Linked DNA regions of Ovis aries. The protein of the gene in region 1 purifies or fractionates together with the protein of each later gene. This does not show direct contact. Links are inferred from orthologs where the notes say so. Each region holds a gene or a part of one and is shown in the gene's direction. Other genes may lie near its edges. The genes, in order: MAP3K4, GADD45B and GADD45A.

Evidence for each region.
Region 2: the proteins of MAP3K4 (region 1) and GADD45B purify together in Homo sapiens (co-immunoprecipitation; 3 studies listed by BioGRID and IntAct, counting the BioPlex papers as one, with this or other methods). This does not show direct contact. The link is inferred for Ovis aries from reciprocal best matches to the Homo sapiens genes MAP3K4 and GADD45B.
Region 3: the proteins of MAP3K4 (region 1) and GADD45A purify together in Homo sapiens (co-immunoprecipitation; 3 studies listed by BioGRID and IntAct, with this or other methods). This does not show direct contact. The link is inferred for Ovis aries from reciprocal best matches to the Homo sapiens genes MAP3K4 and GADD45A.

The regions. Positions count from the first base shown.
Region 1 is NC_056061.1:84,490,006-84,499,370, forward strand, and holds part of MAP3K4 (mitogen-activated protein kinase kinase kinase 4), read left to right. Parts: coding exon 1-68; intron 69-2,218; coding exon 2,219-2,318; intron 2,319-2,496; coding exon 2,497-2,580; intron 2,581-2,861; coding exon 2,862-3,125; intron 3,126-5,055; coding exon 5,056-5,205; intron 5,206-8,320; coding exon 8,321-8,482; intron 8,483-8,900; coding exon 8,901-9,034; intron 9,035-9,365. UniProt on the Homo sapiens protein: Component of a protein kinase signal transduction cascade. Activates the CSBP2, P38 and JNK MAPK pathways, but not the ERK pathway. Specifically phosphorylates and activates MAP2K4 and MAP2K6.
Region 2 is NC_056058.1:18,907,029-18,916,999, reverse strand, and holds GADD45B (growth arrest and DNA damage-inducible protein GADD45 beta), read left to right. Parts: upstream 1-4,862; 5' UTR 4,863-5,094; coding exon 5,095-5,138; intron 5,139-5,241; coding exon 5,242-5,343; intron 5,344-5,745; coding exon 5,746-5,968; intron 5,969-6,235; coding exon 6,236-6,349; 3' UTR 6,350-6,992; downstream 6,993-9,971.
Region 3 is NC_056054.1:43,321,455-43,331,521, forward strand, and holds GADD45A (growth arrest and DNA damage-inducible protein GADD45 alpha), read left to right. Parts: upstream 1-3,396; 5' UTR 3,397-3,625; coding exon 3,626-3,669; intron 3,670-4,200; coding exon 4,201-4,302; intron 4,303-4,549; coding exon 4,550-4,787; intron 4,788-5,845; coding exon 5,846-5,959; 3' UTR 5,960-6,523; downstream 6,524-10,067. UniProt on the Homo sapiens protein: In T-cells, functions as a regulator of p38 MAPKs by inhibiting p88 phosphorylation and activity.

The DNA.
Region 1 (9,365 bases):
GGCTTACAGGAGAGCTGTACAGAATTCTGGAACAGTGCCGACGACAGCAGTGCTTCAGATGAAATAAGGTTGGGGCTGATTTCCTTTCCTCTCCCATTTCTGATCTTATGTAGTTTTACCCTTGGCAGTGAGCCTATAATATGCCCCTTGTTGAGGCCAAATCATGTTGGACTCGAAGAATGTGGGTTGTAGATCTAAAGGGATTTGTGTGTGACTGCTGTATCATCTTTTCGTGTGATCTCTTAGTTATGGTTTTATGTGAAATTGTCCTTGGAGGTGACTGTTATTTAAGCTAATCCTTAGAGACGATGTAGTTTCAGTTGACTAAGAACTGCTAGGGTAGAATTCATTCGCATGTTCCGGACTGTCTTTAGTTAACTAGTTTCTGTCCTTTAAAGCCTCTGCAGTAGTCCATGAATACATTAACTGACGTTTGGTGCATTTTTGTTGTTTTCACACTCACCTTACCCCTTCTGTTGAACTTTAAGCTTGAGTAGGAGAAACCGTGACTGGTTCATCTGTGTTTCCTTCAGTTGTGTGCACACAGTATTGAGGGTGAGCCATGTTAAAGTGCTGTTTTTGTGGCTTATGTGCCACTCAGAGCTATTTTGTGGCCAGTTATCAACAGTACCCTGTGAGTCAACATTAGGAAGTGCTAAGGCGGAACTAACTTCTCTAGAGGTGTTTTCTCTCACCTTCCAGCATTTGATAGAAAACACATTTTGGGGTTTCATAACACCGGAATCTCTTTATACCAGGATTAAAGAAAGAAGTCACTACATAGGCTCTCACCTGGGAAAATGCTGAATTATTGAGAAATGGAATGAATCAGTTCATAGAAGGTCTTGCCGTTTTGGGCGCTGACATGGTAGACTCAGAATAAGCGAGTTCAGTCATTGGGGTGGTGAAGCAGAGGATGGCTCTTACAGTGCTTTGATCGTTTACTGGGGGTGGATCGAGAAAGGGGGTTCACACACAGTGATGTGTGGGGCTGGCTGTCCTGGCTCCAGGGCACCCCTGTGGGTCGTGCACACCCCCAAGTCACAGCTCAGTGATGTCCTTTTGGTGGATTGAAAACCTCTGTGATAGGTGTATCCACACCAAGAAAATTGGCAAGCACCACACAAGATAATAGTTTAGGGGGAGCTGGTGTTAAATATTCCCTGGTTCACTGCTCCTTTTTAGTTAGATTATGAGCCGAGAGTCAAGAGCCTAATTCCTACTCCAAGAGTTATCCTGATGTTGTTGTCCAGTCGCTAAGTCGTGTCTGACTCTTTGCGACCCCATGGACTGCAGCACGCCAGGCTTCCCTGTCCTTAACTATCTCCCGGAATTTGCTCAAATTCATGTCCATTGAATCGGTGATGCCATACAACTATCTCATCCTCTGTCATCCCCTTCTCCTCTCAGTCTTTCTTAGCATCAGGGTCTTTTCCAGTGAGTCAGCTCTCAATTGCATCAGGTGGCAAAAGTATTTTATGTATTCTAATGAAATCCTAATGAAATGCCAGCAAAGGTCCATCTAGTCAAAGCTGTGGTTTTTCCAGTAGTCATGTATGGATGTGAGAGTTGGACTATAAAGAAAGCTGAGCACCAAAGAATTGTTAATTTTGAACTGTGGTGTTGGAGAAGACTCTTGAGAGTCCCTTGGACTGCAAGGAGATCCAACCAATCCATCCTAAAGGAGATCGATCAGTCCTGGGTGTTCATTGGAAGGACTGATGCTAAAGCTGAAACTCCAATACTTTGGCCACCTGATTCGAAGAGCTGACTCATTGGAAAAGACCGTGATGCTGGGAAAGATTGAAGGTGGGAGGAGAAGGGGACGACAGAGGATGAGATGGCTGGATGGCATCACCAACTCGACAGACATGAGTTTGAGTAAACTCCGGGAGTTGGTGATGGACAGGGAGGCCTGGCGGCGTGCTGCAGTCCATGGGGTCACGCAGAGTTGGACACGACTGAGCTGAACTGAGTGAAACTTTCAGGAAATGGAGTGCACTGCCCTTTGACGGTTGCTCAGTGTACCTGATATCTGCAAGTACTCTCCAGAAAACTGTGGGAGCAAGCTACAGCATATTTCGAGTGCATTCGTAATAATTGCTTGTTTCTAAAATTTTTAGTCTTTATTAACGTGAGTTGGAATCTGCTCTGTCTTTATTGTGTATTTCTTGGTGTTCCCTCATGCATTCTAACTGGGTTTCTGTCCGCCTGGCAGGAGGTCGGTTATAGAGGTCAGCCGAGCACTGAAGGAGCTCTTCCACGAGGCCAGGGAACGAGCCTCCAAGGCGCTGGGGTTTGCCAAGATGCTGAGAAAGGTGCATTCACAGTCCTGATGAGCTGTTACTTATTTTTTTCCTTTTATCTTATTTTTTAAATTAATTAATTTTTTAATTGAAGGGTAATTATTTACAGAATTTTCTTGTTTTCCATCAAAGTCTGTTTATTTTTTAAAAAGCTAACCCTAAAGAAGTTTCTCTGTAACTGTGATCCTAGGACCTGGAAATAGCTGCAGAGTTCATACTTTCAGCCCCAGTTAGAGACCTTCTGGACGTTCTGAAAGCAAAGCAGTACGTTAAGGTGCGTAGTTAAGGCGGTAGAATTATTTTACCTTTCTTACTCTAGACAGAAATTTGTCTTAAAGATGTAGGTAGTAAACGTTTTGGGCTTCACAGTCGATATGTGGACCCCCATGTTAAGACTGACCCATAATTTCCTGATACTGTAACTAGAGAAGCCGAGCTCTCCGTGCTTACTAACTCGTGTTAAGGATGTAGATGAGGAACCCGAAGCATGCGCAGTAACATTTCTGTAATAGATGGTGCTCTTTAATTCAGGATTTTGGATCGTTTCTCTTCCAGGTACAAATTCCTGGCTTAGAAAACTTGCAGGTGTTTGTTCCAGACGCTCTTGCTGAGGAGAAGAGCATTATTTTGCAGTTACTCAACGCAGCTGCAGGGAAGGACTGCTCCAAAGACTCAGACGAGGCACTAATTGACGACTATCTACTCTTGACCAAATGTGACCGCACTCCAGACTCCGAGGACGGCTGGGCCGCCTGGGAGGCGCAGCCTGTCAAGATCGTGCCTGCGGTGGAGACGGTTGACACCCTGAGAAGCATGCAGGTCCGTTCCCTGCCCTGCCTGGAGGCAGTGTTGTTATTGTTACCATTGTTGTTGTTTAATTCGCTCAGTCATGTCCCAGACTCTTTTTGACTCCGTGGACTGTAGTCCCCCAGGCTCCTCTGTCCACAGGATTTTCCAGGCCAGAATACTGGATTGGGTTTCCATTCCCTTCTCCAAGGGATCTTCCCAATCCAGAGACTGAAGCCAGGTCTCCTGCAATGCAGGCAGATCCTTTACCCCTGAGCCCCTGGGGAAGCCCCAGAAACATGTACTGCTTGGACTTTGCTGTTTTGACGAGTTTATTTCCTTACTGTCCTAAAATATTCTGGGAGATTCTTTAGTTGTACTGAAGTATTTGAAATGTTTTATGTCTTTCCTCGCTTCAGCCACGTCCATCAGTTAGAGGCACCCACTCGTGACCCGGAAGGAATTGTGTCCCTCATTTAGTTTGTCGTTGCAGACATCTCAGCTCTCCAAGTGTTGATTTCGCGGCTAATCACTCTATAAACAAGACAAACTTTTTACCTTGTCACCGGCTACTTGACTCCCTTCTTCTGCGTAGTCAGCTTGTCAGCTGCCTACCTGGCAGTGATCCTCTGACAGTCTGTATGCCTCAGTAACTAAGACTGTAAGAAGCCGCTCAGGCCGCTGTGTTCAGAGAGCGTAGCACTGATATGCATACTCAACCGTGTGTAAGACAGACAGCTAGTGGGGAGCTGCTGTGTAGCTGCTGTGTTCAGAGAGCCTTGCACTGATATACATACTCTTCCGTGTGTAGGACAGACAGCTAGTGGGGTGCTGCTGTGCAGCCGCTGTGTTCAGAGAGCCTTGCACTGATATACATACTCTTCCGTGTATAGGACAGACAGCTAGTGGGGAGCTCCTGTGTAGCCCAGGGAGCTCAGCTCGGTGCTCCGTGATGGCCTAGAGGGTGGGATGAGGGCACGGAGGTCCCGGAGGGAGGGGGTGTGTGCGTACATGTAGCTGTTCACACTGTTGAGCAGCGGAAGCATGCCGTCCAGCATTGTACAGGAATTCTGCTCCAGGTAACAAACACACACAACCTGTAAGAAGCCTCCTCCCACCTCTGTGCTCAGCTCTGGAGTGGCAGTGAGTGCGCACCCGCACCTCGAACTCAGCTGGACAGCCCAGCCGCCTGCCCCCAGCGCCAGGAGCCCGCCTGTTCTTGCGTACTCCCTGTCTCAGTGACTGGCACTCTGTCCACTCTGGTGTTTAAGCCAGGATGTGGCTGTTCATAAACGTCCAGCCCCCACCTCCCTCCACTTAAACAGCTCCCCCCGCCCCGAAGCCTTTCCAGTCAGGGAGCCTTCCTCTGCATCCCTGGGCCCGCTCCTGGGTCGGAGCTGATCGCCCCTTTCCTGTGGCAGGGCCTCACTTCTAGTTTCCCTGCTTCAAGCCTCACCTTTCCTCCCTCTCATCCGGTGCTCGTTTTGGTACTTCCAGAGTGATCCTTACAATTCATACATCTCATCACATGTCTACTCAGAATACGGTGGTGACCGTCACTTAAAGAATGCAAGTAATACAGTCTTGGTTTCTGTTTTATAGAAGGCCCCTCGTCTCCTCCCATTCTTACTCCCGCATTTTCATCCTCACACGCTGCTCCGGTGCAGACACACACTCTCAGTCCCCGCTCCAGGAGGATTGTGTCTTGGAGTTCTAGCATACTCCAGACACTGCCTGCCCACACCATCCCGTGGGGTTTCTCCCCGCTGTGCTGGAGAGTCTAGCCACTGGTGCCCGCTGCAGTGCTCCAGGGGAGCAGCTGTAGTCCAACAATGCGCTTTCTCATCCAGTGCTTGCTGGCCGGGGGGCCCTGGGGTCGGTGGTGCTTTGAGACTGGGGGTTGAACTAGAGTGGACAGCCAACTGGGTCTGCGTTTAAGCCCTGTGCTCGCTTTTCTTCCCAGGTGGACAATCTTTTACTAGTTGTCATGCACTCCGCGCAGCTCATAATCCATAGAAAAGCTTTCCAGCAGTCCATCGAAGGACTCATGACGCTACGCCAGGAGCAGACTTCCAGTCAGCCCGTCATCGCCAGAGCTTTGCAGCAGCTGAAGGTATTCCATCGTCACCTCAGTCTTCACTATGCTTTATTTGCATTTGGTGCAATGCAAGGGAAGAGTTGGTGTGCTATAACCTAAGTATTCCAGGGACCTGAACTCTTCAATTGTCCTCCCCATTCTCTGTCTCTTCCCACGTTTCCCGTGTCTCGTGTCTAAGTTAGAATTTTCCCTGCATCTTCCTTGGAACTGTGGAACATTGGAATTGGAAAGGGTGAAAATTTAAATAGTTGTGTGACTTCTTAAGGTCACATGTTTGGTTAGTATTGGACCTTAGGTCTCTTCCTTCCTAACCCAGTTTCTTTCTCCTTTAGCAGTTACCAGTGTTTACTAGAGGTACTGTCAGTCAAAAATGTGTAATTTACAAAAAAAAGATTTATTGTTTCACTTAATAGATGATTCAGTCAAATTGATTATAATAGAGAAAACCAGCTGTGGCTTGTGGACAGGCAGAAAGACCTTCAGAGTTCATGACAAGCTAGAGCCTTGCCTTTTATTCCTGTTTCCCCCTACTTTTTATTTGGTACTCCATTCATCACTGTCCCACAAGCCATCAGTTTTCTGTCACATCACGGCTTTGCTTCCTGAAGAAGCACTTAAAATCACAAGGAGTTTGATAAACGCTTGTTTTTGTTCTGCCAGTCTGATTTGCCTTGTTTAGCTGTAAACATTCTCCCTTATAGATTGTGAAGTAAAAGTCGCTCAGTCGTGTCTGACTCTTTGCGACCCCGTGGACTATACAGTCCATAGAATTCTCCAGGCTAGAATAGTAGTGGGTAGCTGTTCCTTTCTCCAGGGGATCTTCCCAACCCAGGGATTAAACCCAGGTCTCCCACATTGCAGGCAGATTCTTTACCTACTGAGCTACCAGGGAAGGCCCCTTTATAGATTGTCACCCCATTCTAATACCAGGGCAGGGGACTTTTGTTTTTTCTTTTAGTTTGAGTTAATGAATTCTGGAGAGTACAGAATTGTATAGGATGTTGATTGTTCGTGAGCTTGAAAAGTTTGTAGCCTTAAGGACCTGACCTGTCACACTGCAGCAGAGAGGACGGGAGACCAGGTCCTCCCAGTAGCAGCTGTGGAGGCACTGCAGCTGGGGAGGGTTTCTGAAGGTGTAGGTTGGGAAGGGACCAGTGAGAGAAACACTGGGGCGTGGCATCCATGGATCAGGGTCATGGGAACACTCACAGAGGATCCATCTAGTTTGGTTGGATCCTGGTATATACAGTGGGAAAGAGTGGGGGATGCGGCTGGTAGAAAGTCAGGTGGGCAAAAATCAGACTGTTGGGAGATTCTGAATTTCATATTCTAAGCCCCAGAGAGTCATCAAAGATTTTGGAAGAATATTTTGGAATAGAGTATAGGGGACTCGCTTGAGTAGTGAAAGTGAAAGCTGCTCAGCCATGTCCGACTCTTTGCGACCCCATGGACTATACAGTCCATGGAATTCTCCAGGCCAGAATACTGGAGTGGGCAGCCTTTCCCTTCTCCAGGGGATCTTCCCAGCCCAGGAATCAAACCAGGGTCTCCTGCATTGCAGGTGGATTCTTTACCAGCTGAACCACAAGGGAAGCCCAAGAATACTGGAGTGGGTAGCGTATCCCTTCTTCAGTGAATCTTCCCCACCCAGGAATCGAACCAGGGTCTCCTGCATTGCAGGCAGATTCTGTACCAGCTGAGCTACCAGGGAAGCCCTCTAAAAATTTGGCCTGCTTTAACTTAAGGTTCCAATTCTCACATAATCCAGTGAATACATCCCATTCACTAGCTAACGAGCAATAACGTGAATCATCCCATCTGGGAATAAAAACTTCATCAAGCTTAATCTCTATTTTCTTAAAGAGTGGCATTTGGTCTCACAAATCCTGCTCACAGCGCTCACTAATTAACGTTTTGCCGAAAGCTTTCACTTTTCATCTCAGGTTCAAAGGATTTGTTAATAAAATAAGCTGCTCGTTATATACAAATAAATGATACAGATATTCATTAGAGAGTTATCTAGCTTACTTTCAATATGCTAACGTTAAAGGAAAAGAGAAAGAGCAGAGAGTACATCACCAAATTGCGTTTTGACCAACATCCAGACTTAAGCAGCGCTGGGAAATCCTGTGTCACAGCACATCTGGAGTCCCAGTTGGGAAAGGGTCATTATATTTGTGTGTGTTGAAGGGTGAGTGGAAAGGGAACCGAGTTTGGAGCTGTTGTACTGTTGATTAGGGAAGACAACAAAACTTGTGCTAGGGCAGGGCTTTCCAACCCCCGTACTGTTGACACTTTGGGCCAGTCAGTAATTGTTTGGGGAACTGTCCTGTGGCTCAGGTGGTAAAGAATCCACCTGCAGTGCAGGAGACATGGGTTCGATCTCCGGGTTGGGAAGATCCTCTGGAGGAGGACAGGGCAACCCGCTCCAGTATTTTTTCCTGGAGAATCCCCATGCACAGAGGAGCCTGGCGGGCCAGAGTTCACGGGGTCACAGAGTGAGACACGACTGAGTGACTAAGCACAGCACACACCTGTGTGTTGTAGGATGTCTGGCAGCATCCCAGACCTCTGCACAGTGGATGCCAGCCGGTTTCACAAGTCTGTGCCCACCCCTCCCCACACCGGACAGCCAGAACTATCTCCAGCATCGCCCATGCCCCTGGGGTGGCAAAATTGGCCCCAGCTGAGAACCGCCCTGAGGGGGACGAGGACAGTGTGACTAGTAACACTGTAGAGGTCTCTTAGAAACATGTCATTAGTTTACTCTGTGGCACTGAAATCCTGCTAACATTTGAGCAAGCACCAAGGGGAGACACACCTGTGGGTGATGTGTAGAAATGTTGAGGCTGTAAGCGTCTGTTCAAAGACCACCATGTAATCAGGCATGGTATTTCAAATAGGTTGTTTTCCTCTTGTATTTCATCAGGTCTTCAGAATACCTAATACAAATAAAAATACCAAACTTTTCTTCTTTTGTCATTACTTTTGAATAACCAAAATAAATATGACTGTACTGTATTACAGTGGTCAGTGTCTGTATGATGATGAGAGGAACCTTCCTCTAAAATAGGATAGATGTTGTGTGATCTGTTCCGTTTCGGATTAATCATGGTTTGGGATTCTTTAGAATGATGCCTTAGAGCTCTGCAACAGAATAAGTGATGCCATTGACCGAGTGGACCACATGTTCACTTCAGAATTCGATGCTGAAGTTGATGAATCTGAGTCTGCTACACTGCAGCAGTATTACCGAGAAGCCATGATCCAAGGGTACAATTTCGGGTTCGAGGTAGGTGCAAAATACGAGGCAAAGCACGGCACAGTTTTGCCATAGCTTTGTGACTTACTGACAAAAAGCATTAGGAATCTTGCACAGCACATCTCTTGATCCCATTATTGTAATCACAGCTTAGTCCAGAATGTCATCTTCCACCCTTGCTGGATGTCAGAAATGTTGGGTTACTTTTAAACTGTCAGATAGATACCCAGCTTTTAGATTTAAGCTTATGAGTAAGACCTTTGTGAAACTGCATTTGAAGACATTATTTTCTCTGTAACTCTTCACACTCTTTTTACAGTATGTAAAGTTCACTGGCTTTTGCTTCTTGTTTTTAGAAAAATGACGTTTAAACAGCATTACACAGTATGTTAAGTATTTGTGTAACTGTTTTCTTCTTAATTTTGATATACATGAAATCTTTTTACAGTATCATAAAGAAGTTGTTCGTTTGATGTCTGGCGAGTTTAAACAGAAGATAGGAGACAAGTATATAAGCTTTGCCCGGAAATGGATGAATTACGTGCTGACTAAGTGCGAGAGCGGCAGAGGGACAAGACCCAGGTAATGACCACGCAGGGCGGCTCCTCCCTGAGCCCCGTGTGGGCTGGAGACACCCCATTCTGGTGTTTTTTGGGGTTTCTGAGCAGATGATGGGAAAGCATTTGGAAGTCTTTGACAGTAATTTTTTTTTGTGTGTGTGAACCTATCCACATAAAAACTCCAGTAACTCTTGAAATACTTTTCTTTTGTAATCGTTCCAAAATGAGTTATCTTTAGGCAGGTCACATTCTTCCTGGACAGGTCTTCTTAACTGCTAATCTTCTTTCCTGGTAAAGTTTACACCCATTATTTAGTGTTGAATGGAAAAGAAATCAGTCGCCAGTTCCTTTAC
Region 2 (9,971 bases), on another chromosome or scaffold:
TTGACTGGTTTCATCTCCTTGCCTCCAAGGGACTCTCAAGAGTCTTCTCCAAGACTACAGTTCAAAACCATCTTGGAATAACCTCAGACAGCTCTGAGCTCTGCGCCTCTGGATAATCAGCACAGTCTTCCTGGGTCTCTATTCCACTCCCTGCAAATGTGCACCCACCACACAGGGCTGCTTCCTGGGCACTGAAGGAGAAACTGCTTATGAAAGGCTTCAGTTCAGTTCAGTCGCTCAGTCGTGTCCAACTCTTTGCGACCCCACTAATCGCAGCACCCCAGGCCTCCCTGTCCATCACCAACTCCTGGAGTTCACTCAGACTCACATCTATCGAGTCAGTGATGCCATCCAGCCATCTCATCCTCTGTCATCCCCTTCTCCCCGTGCCCCCAATCCCTCCCAACATCAGAGTCTTTTCCAATGAGTCAACTCTTCTCATGAGGTGGCCAAAGTACTGGAGTTTCAGCTTTTGCATCATTCCTTCCAAAGAAATCCCAGGGCTGATCCTCAGAATGGACTGGTTGGATCTCCTTGCAGTCCAAGGAACTCTCAAGAGTCTTCTCCAACACCACAGTTCAAAAGCATCAAATCTTCGGCGCTCAGCCTTCTTCACAGTCCAACTCTCACATTCATATATGATCACAGGAAAAACCATAGCCTTGACTAGACGGACCTTAGTCGGCAAAGTACTATCTCTGCTTTTGAATATGCTATCTAGGTTGGTCATAACTTTTCTTCCAAGGAGTAAGTGTCTTTTAATTTCATGGCTGCAGTCACCATCTGCGGTGATTTTGGAGCCCAAAAAATAAAGTATGACACTGTTTCCCCATCTATTTCCCATGAAGTGATGGGACCGGATGCCATGATCTTCGTTTTCTGAATGTTGAGCTTTGGGCCAACTTTTTCACTCTCCTCTTTCGCTTTCATCAAGAGGCTTTTTAGTTCCTCTTCACTTTCTGCCATAAGGGTGGTGTCATCTGCACATCTGAGGTTATTGAGATTTCTCCTGGCAATCTTGATTCAAGCTTGTTCTTCTTCCAGTCCAGTGTTTCTCATGATGTACTCTGCATATAAGTTAAATAAGCAGGGTGACAATATACAGCCTTGACGTACTCCTTTTCCTATTTGGAACCAGTCTGCTGTTCCATGTCCAGTTCTAACTGTTGCTTCCTGACCTGCATACAGATTTCTCAAGAGGCAGGTCAGGTCAGGTGGTCTGGTATTCCCATCTCTCTCAGAATTCTCCACAGTTTATTGGGATCCACACAGTCAAAGGCTTTGGCATAGTCAATAAAGCAGAAGTAGATGTTTTTCTGGAACTCTCTTGCTTTTTCCATGATCCAGTGGATGTTGGCAATTTGATCTCTGGTTCCTCTGCCTTTTCTAAAACCAGCTTGAACATCAGGAAGTTCTCAGTTCATGTACTGCTGAAGCCTGGCTTGGAGAATTTTGAGCGTTACTTTGGTAGCATGTGAGATGAGTGCAATTGTGCGGTAGTTTGAGCATTCTTTGGCATTGCCTTTCTTTGGGATTGGAATGAAAATTAGCATGTAATAAATCCTCAAGAAAAGTTTGCTCTTATGCATATCGACGTGGTTCATTTTGGCCACTGCATGTGGGATCTTAGTTCCCTGACCAGGGATCAAACCCATGCCCCGGCAGTGGAAGCACAGAGTCCTAACTGCTGGACCACCAGGTAGTCCTCTTATGTGTGCCTTGAATGCAATGTAAATTTAAATTTTAAAGCACTTACATTTATCAGTTCTAGAGACAAGGGAATCTCATTTGCAAGGTGAATGTGGATATATGCTCAATTTTCTGACTAGGGAAGTCCCCAACTCACAGGTTCTCCAGGAGGAGGGTGTGGGTTTCCCCCTCGGAGGACAGGGTCACCTCTTCTAGAGCAGACAGGGACATTTTCATGGCTGCACCAACCTTAGGAGAAAAATTTAAGAGGGTGCCCGAAGCTCAATCATCAAGATAAATATTTCATTTATTTATTTTCCCTCTTTTGGCCATGCCCCATGGCACGTGGGATCTTCATTCCCTGGCCAGGTATCAAACTCATGCCCTCTGCATTGGAAACACAGAGTCTTAACCACAGGACTGCCAGGGACGTCCCAAGACAAATACTTTAATGTAACATTTTCAAAAATAAAAATCAATGCAAAAAAAAAATCATCATGAAGAAAAGATCAAAATTGGAAATAAAGTCAGGATTTAAACTTGCAAGTGAACAACTCACCTCCCTGCCCTCTACCCCCGACCCTGTCAGATAATGCTTGTTTTAAAACCTTGATTTTTGTTCATCATGGATGGGGATCTTGGGGCATAGATTTTGGTTAAGAATATTATATTAAGATATTGTTTATCTTTTTTTTTCTTTTGGCCTCACCATGTGGCTTGCAGGATCTTAGTTCCCAGACCAGGGATCAAACCTGTCTCTCCCTGGCAGTGGAAGCACAGAGTCCTAACCACTGGACTGCTAGGCAAGTCCCTATAATGTTATACTGATGACTGAGTTTTATGGCATTCCTTTAAAATTTGTGCCTGAGGTGAGTACCTCGATTCCCTTACTCTATACCCCTGCCCTTGGTCCCAATAAAACTTTGTTGACAAAAAATGGGGTGCACAATAGCCAAATGGTAGAAACAACCCATGTGCCCATCAACAGATGAATGAACTAAATGTGGTCCATCTATACAGTCTAATATTATTCAGCCTCAAAAAGAAGGCAATTGTGACACACACATGAATGAACAACTGTGGATGAGTCTTGAGGATATTACGTTCAGTTAAGTAAGCCAGACTCAAAGGACGAATACAGTATGACTCGATTTATATGAGGTCCCTAAAGGATCAAATTCATAGAGACAAAAAGTCAATGGTGGGTGTCAGGAGATGGGGGTAGTTCGTGTTCCATTCCCAAGAGTTTACTCCGGGGATGATAGAAAAGATTTCGGTCTAGATCACGGTGATTGTTACCCAGCACTGTGCATGTATATCATGCCACCGACTGGTATACTTACAAATATCGAAATGATAAATATCGTGCATATTTTACCATTAAAAAAAAAAACCACAGTAGCCTAGGCAGTAGTTTGATTTAAAAATTAAATCTATAAAGTTGTTAATACATGTTGCATATATATGTGTATGTGTGTATAAAGTATTGCATTTGTTACCCCTTCCGGGTGTTTCACCTCCTCTACACTCCGCCCCCGCCGGTTGGTCCCTTCCGGAACTTCGGGCGCAGGGACCTCGCGTGGACACCAGGTGGCGCCGCCGCGCCTCGCAGCGCCCGGGACATTTCGCGCCCCCATGGTGGGCGGCGCGGAGGCGGCGCGATGCGTCAGCGGGACCGCAGGCCGGGGAGCTGGGGGAATCTAGCCTTAAGGCCGAGGCCAGACCCCAGGCTGGCGGGGGTGGGGGTGCAGCTGAGTCATACGGGAGCCCCCGATCGACCGTGGGAGCTAGTCCCACGCGGGCCTGCCCGCCTGGCTCGTGAACTGCTTTCCCAGGGAGATGGCGTGGTTGGCGGCTGTCCGAGCGCGCGGCCGCGCCTGGCGCACACGTGTAACTCCAGCACCAGCTAACTGGGGCCTTGAATTAGTGGAGGCCCCACCAAACCTCAGTTTACCCTTTTGCATCCTGCAGATAAGCATAGCCCATGCTTCCCGGGTTCTTGGGGATTCAATGAACCGTGATACGGAGAACCTGGGGCCAAGCGCGCGCTCCATACATTCAGCGCCCACTCCGGAGGGAATAAAAGCGGCCACCATCACAGTAAGCGCGCAAAGGTGGCAGCGCGTGGCTCACAGATGAACCGGCTCCCTTCGCCCTCTCTCGGGCTGGATTTCCCCCAACAGAGCCGCTGTGAGCAGGGGCAGTCAAACCTTGCAATGCCAGGCGCCTGCAGGGGGCGTGGAGCCTGCGAGGCCTAGCCACCTGCGCCTCCCACGCGCGCCCCACCCTGAAACTCGCGGGGTTGGAGAGGGGGCACCGGGTCTCGGCCCTGGGCTCTGCAGCCCCTGGTTCTGGGGAACTCGAGGCGACCTCCCAGACTACCAGGCGATATTTATCAAGTGTCTCTTGTGTACTCCACTTATTAGTTAATGTTTCCTGCAACCCAGTGAGGCCGGTGCGCATTGTCATAGGACGGGTGGGAACTCTGAGGCCGCTTTCGCAGCCTGCAATTTGGGGGATCTAGGCGGCCTCCTGCGACCACCACCGCGTGCTAGGCGCTTACTGTGCATCCCTCACTTTATTTAGGACTCTGCAATCTAATGAGGCCAACTTTGCATTCCCATTAGACAGATAAGGGCAGAAACGCCCAGAAAGTAAAGTCACCCAGGGGCTGGGGTCTCTGCAGCCTGGGGCTACCCCCCCCCCCCCCCCCCACCACCTAGGGATCGGGCTGCAGACTGGGCTCCCTCTCGGTGTAAAACTGCTGCAGAACCTGGAAAGACTCGGGCCGGGGACTCTCCGGGGACCGGGAGGGGATTCCAGGCCCCCCCCCTCGAAAGTCTGGGCCGCCTCGCGCGCTGGAAATCCCGCGCGCGCCCCGAAACGCGGCGCGGCTGCCGGGAAATAAGAGAAAACTTCTGCTTTTTTTTCTCTTTTCTGGCACTCAAGTTCCCCCCGGCTCCACCCCCACCCTCCCGGCGCCCTCCTCCCGGCTCTCGCCCCCACGTGGGGCACCCCCGCGCGGCGCCCCGCCCCCTCCCCGCCGCCGACCAACCGCAGCGCGAATTTCTCTCGCCTTTGTGTTTTGTCCAATCGGAGGGGCGAACGGGTCACTGGGGCCTCGCCCCCTAACCTCTTAGTCTATAAAAGGCTGTGCCTGCCGCCGCAAGCTCAGATCGCTGACGCCGAGCACTCGGATCTTTTGCAGTTGCTACTTGGATTATTCTTGCTGAGACACTTGCAATTTTTTCCGCCTTTTTTGGGGGTGGATTTCGCTGCCTTCCTAAGGTCTTGACGAACGCTTGGTCTCCGTGGGAAGGCTTTGGGCTTTCCAGCCTTGGATATTGCATTTTCTTCCTTGAACCTGTCGTGAGGCTGTTTTCCACTGTGGATTATAACTGCAACATGACACTGGAAGAGCTCGTGGCGTGCGACAACGCGGCGCAAAAGTAAGTAGTGGCGCCCCTGCCACCTGAGGTCAGGCTGGGCCGGGTGGGGAAGGGGCGCCCCGTGCCTGGCCTGATGCTGACCTCCGCTCTCCCTTGGCCCCAGGATGCAGACGGTGAGCGCCGCGGTGGAGGAGTTGCTGGTGGCCGCGCAGCGCCAGGACCGCCTCACCGTGGGGGTGTACGAGTCGGCCAAGCTGATGAATGTGTGAGTCAGACTCTGTCTCCCGGCTGGGCGCGGGTGGGGACCCTCTCCGCTCTGCAATCTCCCTCCTGCACTCCTGTCTTGCATGGGTCTGGGACACCCCCAAGTGTCCCCATTGTGGATTGGGGATCTTTCTGCCCTTTTTTTTTTTTTTGAGGCGTGGAGGCTGCAGTATGCTGGGGCTACATCACTTGCAAACAGTCGCCTGTTTATGTCCCTGACTTACCCCCCACCCACGCCCGGCCTTTGAACCGAGCGTCTTCTCCCCCACCCCAGCATCTGCTTGCAGATGCCATCCCCTGCACACCTGCAGTTGCTCTCTGCTTTTGCAAACTCCCCGCCGCACGAGAAGGGGGGCCCTTCCGAGTCCCCAGCTGACCCACCCATCCCCCTCTGGCCCCTCAGGGATCCTGATAGCGTGGTCCTGTGCCTCCTGGCCATCGACGAGGAAGAGGAGGACGACATCGCCCTGCAGATCCACTTTACGCTTATTCAGTCCTTCTGCTGCGACAACGACATCGACATCGTGCGGGTGTCGGGGATGCAGCGCCTGGCGCAGCTGCTGGGCGAGCCGGCCGAGACCCAGGGCACCACCGAGGCCCGGGACCTGCACTGTCTCCTGGTCACGGTGAGCAAACTGGGGCTCCGCCCTGCCCCACCCCCACCCGGCACCTGGGCCCGTGTTTGTCAACAAAGTGGAGCTGGCCGGTGTGCACCAGCTCAGCGTTCAGCCACGCTTGGCATGTCCCGTGGGCAACCTGCTAGCCTCCAGGCCTCTTCACCTAGCGAGTTATTTTGAGCCAGCCTGTTTTCCCCATGGGAGCCCTGGGAGAGGGACACTCCCCACCCACTCCTTGGGGCTCCTGCTGAACCCCCTCTTCTCGCCCTCCCACAGAACCCTCATACAGACACCTGGAAAAGCCACGGCCTGGTGGAGGTGGCCAGTTACTGCGAAGAAAGTAGGGGGAACAACCAGTGGGTTCCCTACATCTCCCTCCAGGAGCGCTGAGACCCCGCCGGGCATCGGAAACTCTTGCTGCCGAAAACACAAAACCACATAAATATTTGACCCCCCCTCCCTCCCAGAACAACCCCCCCAACAACCCAACCCGTGAGACCATCGGGGGCAGGATCGCTGGAGACTGAAGACAGGAGAGGGAGTGCGCGGCCGCCCCAGGGCGGGAAGCTTGGAGCCGGGGGCCAGCGGCGGCCACGGTGTGAGGAGAAGACAGGACCCGGGCCAGCAGGAGAGGGGACCCGGGAGCTCAGGCCTGGTGACAGAGCAGACGCAGGAGCCAGGGAGCTGCTTGCTTCCCCTACCAAGGAGGGCCTGGGCTCCACACTTCGGGGGTGGGGTGGGACTGACGACTGCAGCCCCCACCCTTCTTGAGACCCGAGCTGACATCTGCAAAAAAACGGGCCTTGGTTGGCCTAGGGTCGGCAGCCCGGCCCGGACAATAACTTTGGGACTTGGGAGCAGGGGCTCATGTTGCTCTGTACCCATGAACTCCCAGCTTGCAAACTCAGTATATTGACAATCTATTTTGTTACTTGCACTTGTTACTTGAACCACTGAAAGACAGAGGGGAAGCTTACAGATACATATATTTTTACTTCTACTATGATGCCTTGTAATAAATTTTTAAAGCTTCTGGGTTCTTGTGTATTTGCAGTCCCTGTGAGGGACCAGCCCCCACTACGCCCTCCCACCCCAGCAGTGTGCCCCTGCACCCCCTCCTGCAGGCTCACCAGGAAGTGTTACTTAAGTCCGAGTTAGCCGCTCCAGGCTCCTTGCAAAAACAGTGCCTCTTCTCTCTGCAGCCGGCGCCACCCAAGTCCAACAAATCTTTGCCTCTTTTTTTTCTTCTCCCCCCGTCCTGCCCCGTAGCAATTAAAAGACCGGTTTATTACGAAACCTGGCCGCCGTGTGGCTGCTGTTACTGGCGGTGCTGGAGCCAACCCCAGGTTCTGGGCACATGAAGACGCACCCCTGGGGGGCTGGCTGCAGCCCCTGCCTATTCAGCCGCCACCGCAGCGCAGCTCCAGAGAGGTCAAGGGGCCACCTGTGACCACACAGCGAGGTGGGCTTGGAGCTCAGAGCTGCCCCTGAGCTAGGGCCTAGCAGGAAGAACTTTGAGGATCTCCCAGAGGGCACCCCCCCACCCAAGCCTGCTCCATCCTAGGATGGGCCTCTTCACTCCACTGAAGAAAAAAAATTTTTTTTCATTCCTCAAACTTAAATCAACAAGCAGCAAAATACCCGAGGAAGTCGTGCTCCCGGCCCAGCTGGGCTTGGCACGCGGCTACGCTTTGCCTCTAAATCGAAACTGTGAGGCCTGGCCGTCCACCTCCTTGTTCTATCAAAGTCTCAAGTGGGTGACCCCCTGCGGCGGGGGTGGGGGGCGGTTAGGAGCGCAGCCCGGCTGGAACTCCGGCTTCAGTCTTCCTGCCCGGAGCCTGCGGTGTGGGCTCGCGACACCTGCGCAACATCCCCTCCCCTCAGCCCTGCACCTCGGGCCTGGGAACCAGGTGGGGGGGGGGCGACCCGACCCGGGGACCAGCCCAGGCCGCGCGACCTTTCCACGGAGCCCCACGTGGGCGCGCGAGGAAAACCCCGGCGGCCCCGGGGGAGTCACGGGGCTGGGGGGAGCCCCGCCGGGGGAGGATGGGGGAGCGAAAAGAGCAAGGGGAAGTCCCAGAGAGGGAGGTGGGGGCGGGGCGGGGATCCCTCCTGGAGGGGAGATCTGGGGGGTAGAGGAGACGCCTAAGCAGCCCGGAGGGAGATAAGCAGCCCTGAGGGAGTAAGGACACCCCCACCCAGCACAGGGGAGGGGGCGGAATCCCAGTAGGGGGTGGGGGAAGGGAGGTGCTAAGAGGAGATACCCGGCTCTCGAGGAGGCAGAACAAGAGGGCTGCGGTGGGTAGCCTACGGGAGAGGAGGGGGGTCCAACGGGCCTAAGGGGGGTTGAAAAGAATCCCTGTAGGGGGTTGGGGGAGGGGAGGTTCTGTAAGTGGAGAGACCGGAGCCCTGGGGGGTAGAGGTGGGAATTTGAAGAGAAAGGGGTGTGGGGCGAGGGGGCACCCAGAGCGGGAGGGGGAGAAGGGCCAAGGAATCCCTGTAGTGGGTGGGGGCGCGAAGTGAGAGAGAAGACTCGAGCGGGGGGAGGAGGAGCCGACAGTCCGAGGGGAGAGGGGAGGGGGTTCCTGCTGAAGTTGGGAGGTGAAGGGACTGAAGGCCCGCGTGATGGAGGTGGCCTGTGAAGGGGTGAGGGGGGGATGAGGAGAAGGATCCCTGAGATAGGGCCCAGAGACGGGAGAGGGGGCAGAGGCCGAGACCTCAGAGTGGGGGCGGGGCGCGGCGCGATGCGGAAGAGCTAAGGAGGGGGGGGTTCATTGTCCCAGAGCTGACCTGGAGATCCCCCAGTCGGGTCAGCTTGTGGGAAAGCTCCCGCTGGCTCCGCCCGTGGGTGTGGGCCGCTCTGTCCCCGTCCTGACCTTGGCCACACAGAAGGGCCGTATGGCCTCTGACCCTCTCCTCCCTAAGTCTCCTGTGCAGTGGGGACACGATCCCAGGCCCCTGGGCTCCAGGGAGACACAGGGCATGGGTAGGACCTCAGCTTTGTGACCCTGAGCTGGTACCTTAACTTCTCTGTGCCTTTAAAGTTTCCCTTTCTGAAAAGGGGGAATAATAATGCTACCTGCCTGCCTCATAAATTGCTGAGGTTAAACGAAATATATATTCCTCAGATTAGCTTCCCTGACACAAAATGTATTAAAAGGATTACCCATTATTACGACGAGGGCTGTTATCAGCACTGTTGTTATGTTCCCTGCATTTCCAGAATCGTCTCCTTTAATCCTCGCGCAGCCATCCTGTGAATTAGCAGAGCCGAGACTAGGGTGAGGCGAGCGGCACACACTTTCCGTGCAAAAGTTAAGGCAGCAAGCGCCCAAAAACTCAGTCGGCAAGATAAAGAATATTTTCAAGCCATGTATTTTTAACTCGGATGCAAACATTAAAAGAGAGAGAGAAAATCCCTTGGGGACCAAAACCTGTAAATCATGAGAGGATTAGCTGATTTGTCCCTCTGCTTCTCCCCGTGCAGCGTTCCTGACCCGGTTTGATTTAAACTTCGGATATTTGGCTCTTTGCAGGCGAAGTACCAAAGGCTCGTAGGGGGCGTGGCTTTTCACATGGGCGTGACCGAGGAGAGGCGAACCGAGGCTTTGAACTCGGCTGCCACTGCGCGAGCACGGGAACGTTCGAGGTCATGGCTCTTACTTTCTCACACTAGTTCTCCCATTATTATTACTACTATTGCTCCTGCTGTCGTTAAAAAAACCATTGAGTCTTCCTGACGGAACCCGGAACCCAAAGGCTGTTCCGCGGAGTTAACAGCAGCTCGTTGATTCAGTCTTCTCTGCATGCAAACACCCTTAAACTTGACCACTGTCCACTGAGGACGATACTGTTGTTCCATCTTCCAGAAGAGAAGCCTGAGGCCCAGAGTGGAGGAGCCCGGGCTTGGCCAAGAGTCTTAAAAACCCAGGGGTACAGGGATCGGGCAGGTTGCTCCCCAATACACTCCTGCCCCCACCAGATTTCAGGGTGGAGTGGCCATAGGTCACCA
Region 3 (10,067 bases), on another chromosome or scaffold:
AGGCTTATACAAAGGTTAACATTGGGGTTAGAGATCATTGAGGCCATCTCAGAATTTGCCTACAGATGGTCCAAGAAACTAAACGTTTATGTTAAATTCAAATGGAAATATTGATCTTATGAAATTATACATTTTTAGGTGTAAATTGTCTGAACAGTCTTCTTTGAGAAAAAAATTGAGGGAAATTGAGAGCCTGACTTTAGAAACTAACTTTACCAGACTTATACAAAAAAATACTTCAGGAACCTTAGGATTTTTAACAACAAAATGTAATATAATACAGTTCTAGATAAGTATTAATAGTTAATACATCTGTCATAGACTAATTGATATCCTTCAATGTGAAGAATAATATGTCTAGTACTGAAATAATACGCATCATATTTCCTTCAGATGTTAAAGGGTTGATGAATTTTTGAAAGAGAGAAAATTTATCATTCTATACTACAGAACCAGTAGTAAGAATATATGTATGATAATAATGAAAAAAATAAAAAAGACTTTTAAGATGTAAAGCAGGCAGCAGTGCTAAAATTATTTGACAACTCCTGAATATAAATTTATTTTTATCTAACATCCAAATATAACCATTTAGCATCATTATAAATATTACCAGAAGGTCATTCAGTTCTGTGCAGTTGAAGTACTTGGAATTACCTGGGATAATTTTTTAAATGATTATATATATTGGAATTATATTTTAATACAGATTATTTTTAGAATATATGAAAAATGTATATATACACATATGTACCTATCTAGGGCTATTCCTGTAATTTATCATTGGATACCATCCTCCCCAGGGACAAATAAGCATTTATGAACAGTATCATCTAAATGCATCCTAATATATAACTGCAATCTAGTGGCAGACAAATGCAGCTCCTACTTCCAGTGTGAAACACCAAAATAATCAGTGATGAAACAGTCTAGGCAGACTCAGCAATGAGGCAAAATGGTGTAACATATCTGAGTCAGAAAGTATGACAGATGAATATTTTTGAATACTGGAAGGCTAGGCTTATCTCACAGAGAACAACCCCATAGCACTTGAACAAATCACTTTCCCTTGAAATCAAATAAAGAATGCAGTGTACTTGTTGAGTGAGAAACTGGGCCTATATTAAGAAGTAATCTTTTTATACCACATTTTTACTTATTATAATTGACCTTGGTGGGGTATTATCAGGGCTGTGGTTCACTTGAATTGGAATAACAATACATGGGTTCTACTGTCCTACAGTTTCCGTTCAGATGACTAAAGTCATGGGACTTTCAGCATAGCTGGCTGATGACAGTGCATAGTATTTTGTCCCCAAACCCAGTTCAAGCATGGGCATAATAATTAGATGGTAAGCCCTTTAAAGGCAGAGGGCCAGGAATTGTACAGTTCTTGGTATATTGTAGGACAGCAAAAAAGTTTTTTTGAACTAAAATTAAATGTGGAATATCTTAGAATTCATGCATTGCACAGGACTGCAGTATTCTGAGATCTTATTGTTCAATTCAGATTCTACTTAACTCAGTGAACACTGGCCATGCTTCCACCAAATGCAGAAATTGTGGTAGGTGCCAAGAATACCACGTTGATGAAGTCACACTCCCTGCTGTCAAGAAACTCACTCGATTTCCTAATTTGCTGTCAGTTTACAGTGATCATACTTCTTCCAAGGAACCTCTAAGAAATACCTAGTGAGTAGAACCTTGGAGTTCCACAGAACAGAGTTCAACAGTCTCCAAATGATGACTCAGGCCAGATTGCATAATTCAGGTTTTGTTTGCAAAACTGAAAATGCTTCAGCACCTACCTAAATTCCAATTTAAAGGAATTCTTTAAAAGACGCTACATGTTAGAATTTAAGGTATGGATATGAAACATACATTTCTGGGTAAATGACCCACAGACCAGCACCATTCCTTTAGTCAAAACTTGTCCCTTGCTGACAATGCAGTTAAGAGATGAAGTGCAAAATGGCAGCTCAAATAAATGAGCCAGAAAACCTGACCTATCACTTTTCTTTTCCTCTAAATTAAGATCAAGAAAGCTGAAGAATATTTTGTCTAGAATGATATGAACATACGGGTACAAAAACTCCCTTGTAACTTAGCAGAAAATTACTTCTGTGACCTTTGTCTGTACAGTGACCTTAAAAATGCAAGCATTGTTTTGAAAGCAAGCATATGGGAGTATTTTTTTTTCTTTTTTTACCACTTTTGGTGACTTCAGTAGGTTTAACACATATTTTTGCATTTATTGCATAAACTCATGATACAAAGAACTTTCAACCGATTCAAACTCTACATTCAATTTTGTTTTTCAAAAATGTAGAACTACTACTTTCTTTCCACCCACAGATTGCCATTATCTCAAAGGTGAAATTTTAGCCTATGACTAAAAGGACCTATAGCGGCAACTTCATGATTCAGCAACTAACATCAATAATTCACAGTGAGATCATAGGCCCCCTGTGGAAGGTAGTGACATACTTGCCTTATGAAAGGAAGCTGAGGGCATATCCAGAGCATTTTGAGTTTAGATGTGTGCCTTGTGTGGGTGTCAGACTTTTGTCTCTTAGCTGGTGCCCTGCAGAAGGATCCTCCTTTGGGAAAGGCTGAGAAAGGTGAATTGGGGTTGTGAGGCTAGGATAAAATGGTTATACATGTAGTAACCAGCTCCTCCTGAACTCAGTTTTCCACAGTTACCCTGGGCAGGTGGGAAGTCTTTCTGCTTTCTGCATAAAAGATTCCAACTTGGTTTCCTGCCACCACCAAACACAAATGTGTTGATTTTTCTTTTTTGAGCTTCCAACCCTTGCAAGTTTCCAAAAATAAATCAAACCAGCCATCAGGGCACCGAAATAATACTACTACTAATAAGCAGCTTTGCTTAGACTTACATAAACAACACTTCTGAGGTAAACTTTGCCCCAGAAGTCTGGATACACTCTTTTTATATAACCTGCGTACTAATAATTACTAGACTTGGGTGCATTAACCCTGAAAATAGATGTTAATAGCAGCCCCCCAAAACAAAAGACTTGAAACGACAATTAAAAAAAAAAAAGCGCACCAGCAAGAAAAACACTTGGCAGCCAGCTCCAGCCCAAGCTGAAGACACCCTCCTTTCCCCGCCCCCCTACGAAGATCTCCGCTCCTACCCGCCCCGCCTACCGGGTGAGAGTAGGCTCGGAACCCCGCCCGCCCGCGCCCCCTAGGCTCTTTTTCCTCCTGGCCCCTCCCTCTTCCGCTCCTCTCCGCCTGGTTCCTGGAGCTGAGGTCAAATTGTCTGAACAGGCTGATTTGCATAGCCCAATGGCTGCGCGTATGCAAATGAAGAGGATGGTGGTTGGCTGGGGGTTGGCAGGATAACTCCTGGGAGCGGGGCCTTTGTCCTTCAGTGGCTGTGGGGCAGCTGTGGAGTTAGTGTCGTGGTTAGCGGCGAGTGGGCTGCTGAGAGCCGACTAACGAGCAAGCGAGCGAGCGGGGCGGGAGGGGCGGACGGCGCGGTGGTGGCGGGCGCTGGAGGAGCCTGCAGGGGAGTGTGGAAAGCAGGCGCCCGCGCGCCGCCGGTGGCAGGAGCAGCTCGCACGCCGCTCTCTCTCTGTGGGCGACCTGCAGTTGCAATATGACTTTGGAGGAATTCTCGGCTGGAGAGCAAAAGACCGAAAGGTAAGTCGGCCAGAGCCTCTGCCAGAACTCTGCTTGCCTCCTGCGCGCACTCCGGTGCTGCTGGGCTATGCAAGGTTAATGGGGAGCGAGTGGTTCAAAGTTTGCAGCGGGTACCTCCTATCCCGCCTTTCTTCCTCTGGAACACTCCGGAGGCGCGCGTGGACGGGAAGAGCGTACCCCGCACGCCGGTCGAGCCCCTCGAGGCTTTGCAAACGGCAGACGTGACCGTCCCTGCCCGTGCAGCTCTTGCGGCCGACAGCCTGTGGCTGCACCCAGCGCCAAGGACTAGTAGAGCACTAGGGAAAGGGTGGCGGATGTCACTCTCGGGGCTGCTCACAGGATGCCGGGCCTCTGGGCGTAAGGGTTATGGGGGGAAGGGGATGATATCCCAGGGAGTCCTGGTTTGCAAAAGGTCGAGGGGCGCTATTGCGCGTGCCCTCGGTTGGGAGGGTCGCGGTGCAGGGCGAGGAGGCGGCGACTACCCGGAGGGGCTTAGTGTGACGGGATCCCCTTGCTTCTTCCCGCGTGTAGGATGGATAAGGTGGGGGATGCCCTCGAGGAAGTGCTCAGCAAAGCCCTGAGTCAGCGCACCATCACCGTCGGGGTGTACGAGGCGGCCAAGCTGCTCAACGTGTAAGTGGAGCCCTCGCGTGACCCTCTTGGTTCTCCTGTTCGCCCTAGCCAGAGAAGGTCGCTTTCACTGGTCTCCCCTCGCCCTGCAGCGCCACTTCCTGCCGCGTGCCATCTGTCCCGTGGCTACTTGTCCCAGGGGGAGTGAGCGGACCCGGGCGCGACCCCTGACACCTGGGCGGGGGGTGCAGGCTGCCACGCGGCGGGGCTTGCCTTTGGGCTCACCAGCCCGTTCGTTCCCTGCCCGCAGCGACCCGGATAACGTGGTGCTGTGCCTGCTGGCGGCGGACGAGGACGACGACAGGGACGTGGCTCTGCAGATCCACTTCACCCTGATCCAGGCATTCTGCTGCGAGAATGATATCGACATCCTGCGTGTCAGCAACCCGGGCCGGCTGGCCGAACTCTTGCTCCTGGAGACCGATGCGGGCCCCGCAGCCAGCGAGGGCGCAGAGCAGCCCCCGGACCTGCACTGCGTGCTGGTGACGGTAAGGGAGAAGGGGACTTGCGGGCAGCTCGAGGTTAGAGTCCTGGCAGGAAGTTCGTGAGTGCTGAGAGTCGCCTGACTCCAGATCTGAAATGGGCGAGGGTTAAGAGACGGGAGCCTTTGCCCCATTAAAGCGTGTGGCTGGACTTTCAGCCGAGATGTGCTAGTTTCATCATGGGGATTTTCTCTGGGACAGAACGTGTCTAAGCACGTTGGAGGCTGCCAGAAGCGGAAGAGATCCTTGTGACTCAGCATTGTCAGTCCAGCTACTCCCTACCTACATCTGCACTACCTCCCGTGACTAATTCCTTTAGCAGGGCAGATTAGATAAAGCCAAATAAATTCCTGGCTCACCCTCATTAAGGAGTCAGCTTCATTCTCTGCCAGTCAGAGCTAAAAATAGAAATGGTGTAGGAGACAGACCTCATTAATTCCCTAGAAATACATTAAGAGGATAGAGTGGAAATTTTTTCTTTGTGGTCTTGAAGTTTTTTAAATGCCCCCATGCCCCCTTAAAAACCTTTGAAAGGTAGATAACTTGTATTTACAGAGATAAATGTGATTGTTTTGTGTTTTACATTTTGGAACAGTTTGATCTCCTTAAGTGGCAGCCTCATTATTTTGCTACTCCTGAAAAATACTACTCTCTCTTTTGGGAGGATAACAGGTGGCAGTTTTAGTTAACTGCTCTGCAGCTCTAAACTCCTGGTAGCCCAGCACTGAAGTATTTCTCAGGTGTCCACCAAGGTACAAGTTTGGTAGGACAAGCCTATGAATAATACTCTCAGGTAAAAACTGAATAAATATGAAAACATATATATGACTCAGTTAGTTGCATGTGTTCAGACTTTGCAGAGTATAGCTTTGTAGAGAATTACCCTTAATGATTTTGCAGGAAACCCAACTACCTGGAAAAAATTTTTTAATGGTTTTAAGTGGTCTGTAACACTGCCAAAGTATAGAATGTTCAAGCGTCTTCCCCTCAGAAGTATTGTAATTAGTAGCAAAGTCTGATTTTTTAAAAAATAGTAATTTTGTTTTCTCTAAATTTGTTCCCAGAATCCGCATTCATCACAGTGGAAGGATCCTGCCTTAAGTCAACTTATTTGTTTTTGCCGGGAAAGTCGCTACATGGATCAGTGGGTTCCAGTGATTAATCTCCCTGAACGGTGATGGCATCTGAATGAAAATAACTGAAGCAAATTGCACTGAAGTTTTGAAATACCTTTGTAGTTACTCAAGCAGTTACTCCCTACACTGATGCAAGGATTACAGAAACTGATGTCAAGGGGCTGAGTGAGTTCAACTACATGTTCTGGGAGCCCGGAGATAGATGACTTTGCAGATGGAAAGAGGTGAAAATGAAGAAGGAAGCTGTGTGGAAACAGAAATACAAGTCAAAAGGAACAGAAATTACAAAGAACCATGCAGGAAGGAAAACAAAACTATGTATTAATTTAGGATGGTTGAGTTACATTTAAATAAACCCAATATGCTTTGTTAAAGTTTAAATGTGCAGCCATAGTTTGGGTAATTTTGGTTTTTATGCCCTCAAGTTAAAAAAAAAAAAGGGTTAATCATATTTTAAAACCATATTTTATTGTATTTTGATGAGATGTTAAATTCTCAAAGTTTTATTATAAATTGTACTAAGTTATTTTATGACATGAAAAGTTATTTATGCTATAAATTTTTGGAAACACAATATCTACAATAAACTGGTATGGAATAATTGCATCATTTCTTAATGTGTACTTTTGTTTCTTTAACTTGTACTTTATTTTAAACAAGTTTTCTTTTTCAATATGGAAAAATTAAAACCCATGTGAAATCATGTATATATAGTATATGTGCATCTGTATATATAGATGTGTGTGTATGTATGTATATAAAATATTTTTCTACTCAAAACATTTGGGCTGAACATGGCATGATATTGGTTTTTATTTATTTAGTGGGCATTTTAGTGATGCCTTGCTCTACCCTACGCCAAAAGTCAGAAAAACAAAGGTGATTTAGAAGTTGGGTTGGAATTAGGGAAAAGTGGTGCGGGAAATTACAGTTGCAAAACGGATACAGTTAAATGATAACAAGTGCTCTAATATTATATGCAACATGTTATAGAAGCAGAGGGGAGGGAGTCACCAAAGACCTACCTGCAAGACCAGTGAAGTTTTTCCTGGGAAGAGATCATTTTGTTTGGATCTTAAAACAGGAAAAGGATATTGCTAGCAGCAGCACTAGTTTCTGGGAAGGTGTGGAGGCCTGAAAGACCAAAACCTGTTCAGGGAACCAAGAGTGATTCCGTGTGTGCCTCTGGCGTAGAAAGATAAGGGAGAGATAAGGCTGAAAGGTAGGTGGGATTAGGCCCAGACTGGGAATGGCATTCCATGTCACCCTTAGCATTTGGGCTTTCTTCTGTAAACTTTGGCCCGTCTGCAGACGCCTTCACGCAGGGAGTGACGTGATCAGTGTTTCAGGAAGATAACGCTGGGCACTGAAAGACGGGTTATTGGATAAGCTGCCACAGGTGAGAAGGCCAATTGGAAAGTGACCGCAACCGTCCAAGGCTGTGCATTTTGCAGAAGCACATTCAGGAAACAGGGAGTGGCTTGCTGAAGATTTTGGTGCCATTTTTCTCTTTCTAGAGCTGTGTGCCTTTCAGCTGAATGTGTGTGCTATGGTTCTGAGGGGTTTGTCTAAATTAGATGGGAGAGGGAAAAAAAGAGCAAAAGAAATGAAAGGCTTTAGCAGAACAGTCATCTTTTACTTGGAACAGTCACTTGATAATTAACTGCAACAATCTTTTGGACATCCAGCCAAAGAAAGCAAAAATGCCTACTGAGGAGAGGCCTAATATAGCTTTGGTACTCGGGATTTTTCTTTGCCTACTTCTCAAACCATACCCTCCCCCACAACACCCCATGGCTCCTGGGCCATCTGTCTCCCACCCTTGTCATGACTACATACAATCAGGAAAAAGTAGAAATCAGAGGAGAGAAATGCCAGCTAAGAGTTACAAAAAGCACCAAGTTTCTGCATATCTTAGGAATAACATAGGCACATGAGCCCTTCACCTTGCAATTAAGTTTCTGTTTTTCCACATCTACCAGAAATGTGGAGTTGTAGTCCTTGTTTAGGCTTGTATCTTATTTAAGCTAGTGCCTGATCCAAAATGTAACTGCTATTTAATAGTTGTTTTTTACATTATCAGAAGATGGAAAGCAGAGAGTTTTAAACAGATTTTTTTTCCGTCCCATTAAGTAAAAATACTTCCAATTCTTTCCCAAAACTACTTGATTAAAGACCCTCCTGCAGAGATGAGTAAATTAAACTCGGAAGGCAGAGTGGGGAGGAGCGGCTTATGTATGTTCTTAGTCACTCACTGTGTCTGACTCTGATTTACAAATAATGAATGCAATCTACCTGGCACCTGATAGGTGTCAATACAGTGTGTCTACTACTAAAACTGGAGCGATGGCAATAGGAAAACTTCCAAGGCATCAGAAAAATCTGTTGCTTATAACGCGATATACGTATTCAAAGAGAAGTGTCTTGCATGTGTACTCTTAGTGCTGAGAGATGAAAGTGGTAGTGTGCATCCTTGAGGTTGTTTGCTTTCAGAAAAATCCCAACAATTCACGGGATTTTGAAGTCTCAGTTTTTAAGTATTAACAGTTGTTATTCCTTCCTGATTGAACATAACACAAAAGTAACAGGCGTTGAAAAATCCACTCTGAAACAATTGAGTTAATTGTAAACAAGTATGCAATTACCAGGGCAGATTCTGCCTCTAAATGTTGCTAGTATTTTTCAGTTGTTGCTTTAAATGCTATTAACCCTGCTTATTACAAGTAAGTGGAAATGTTACAGCGGGGACAGAAGTCCCCTCCTCTTTCTAAGGTGTGTTGTTTGTGGAAAATACCTACTTTTCCCACTGGCAACTTTACCTCAGTGTCATAAATGGTATTGACTCCTCCCTCCTGTAGTTCGTCAAGACCCTCAGTAAATTAAATTTCTATAATGAAAGGACTCATGAAGGTAAGTAATCTCCCATAATGCATATTTTATTTCCCAAATGAAGAAAGTGTCATGGCTAGGAAAGAGCTGTTTTGTATATTGTTAATTGGAAGTGTTGTCAAAGCATGTTTTGAGACGCCTTGCTATAACCCTTATAAAATCATTGTTTCCTCAATTTTCAACTATATGGGTTCAATTTTATTCTTTGAGATTTGATAGAAGGCTGCAAGCAGTGAGATGTGGTTCCTTTAAATGAATAAAACTCTCAATGGCATGATTTAACACCAGGCCAGTGTCCCTCAAACTGAATTGAATCTTTTTTTTTTTCCTTTTTCCTTTTAAACAATCCTTAGATAACCATCAGGATTCCCCCAGTGGCTCAGCAGTTAAGAATCTGCCTGCAATGCAGGAGATGCGGGTTTGATTCCTGGGTCAGGAAGATCCCCCGGAGAAGAGGGTGGCAACCCACTCCAGCGTTCTTGCCTGGAAAATCCCATGGACAGAGGAGCCTAGCAGGCTTCAGTCTATAGAGTTGCAGAGTTGGATATGACTGAAGAGACTTAGCGCATAGCACTATAAACATAAGAAACTGTGTAAAAAGGTTGTATTCATGAAGATCACGAAGAAAGAATTTTGTTGTTGTTCAGTCACTCAGTCATGTCCGACTCTTTGAGACCCCATGGACTGCAGCATGGCAGGCTTCCCTGTCCTTCACTATCTCCTAGAGTTTGTTCAAACTTACATCCATTGAGTCGATGAAGCCATCCAACAGTCTCATCCTGTTTGAGTGCTTATTATGAGCAAGGGCTATGCTGGTTATATTGAAGTCTACCAAAAAAAAAAAAAAAAAAAATCAGAAACCTACTCTGACCTCAAAGAGTTTCCAGCCTAGTGAAGTAATGAGACACAAACATCAATAGATAAAATCCAAAGCAGAAGTGCCTAGAGAACTGCTATGAGAATTCAAGGGGTGGAAATTTCTGGAGGGCACATGAGGATGACTTGCAGAAAAAGGTTGTGAGTTCTTTGATCAGAAGTTATCATCGTATCTTGCAAACCACACAAATTACTTAACTGATTGAATATTGATTATAATTCTGCTAGGTGCTGCAGAGAATAGACAGAGGCAGCCTCTAAGAGGTAGCGCTTGTCCTTAGAAAGTTTGTTATCAAATAAGGAAATCAATATCAACACATTCACTTCTTTAATGCTATTTACTGAAAGCCCGTCATGCCCTGGGCACTAAGTCCCAAGGCTGCAA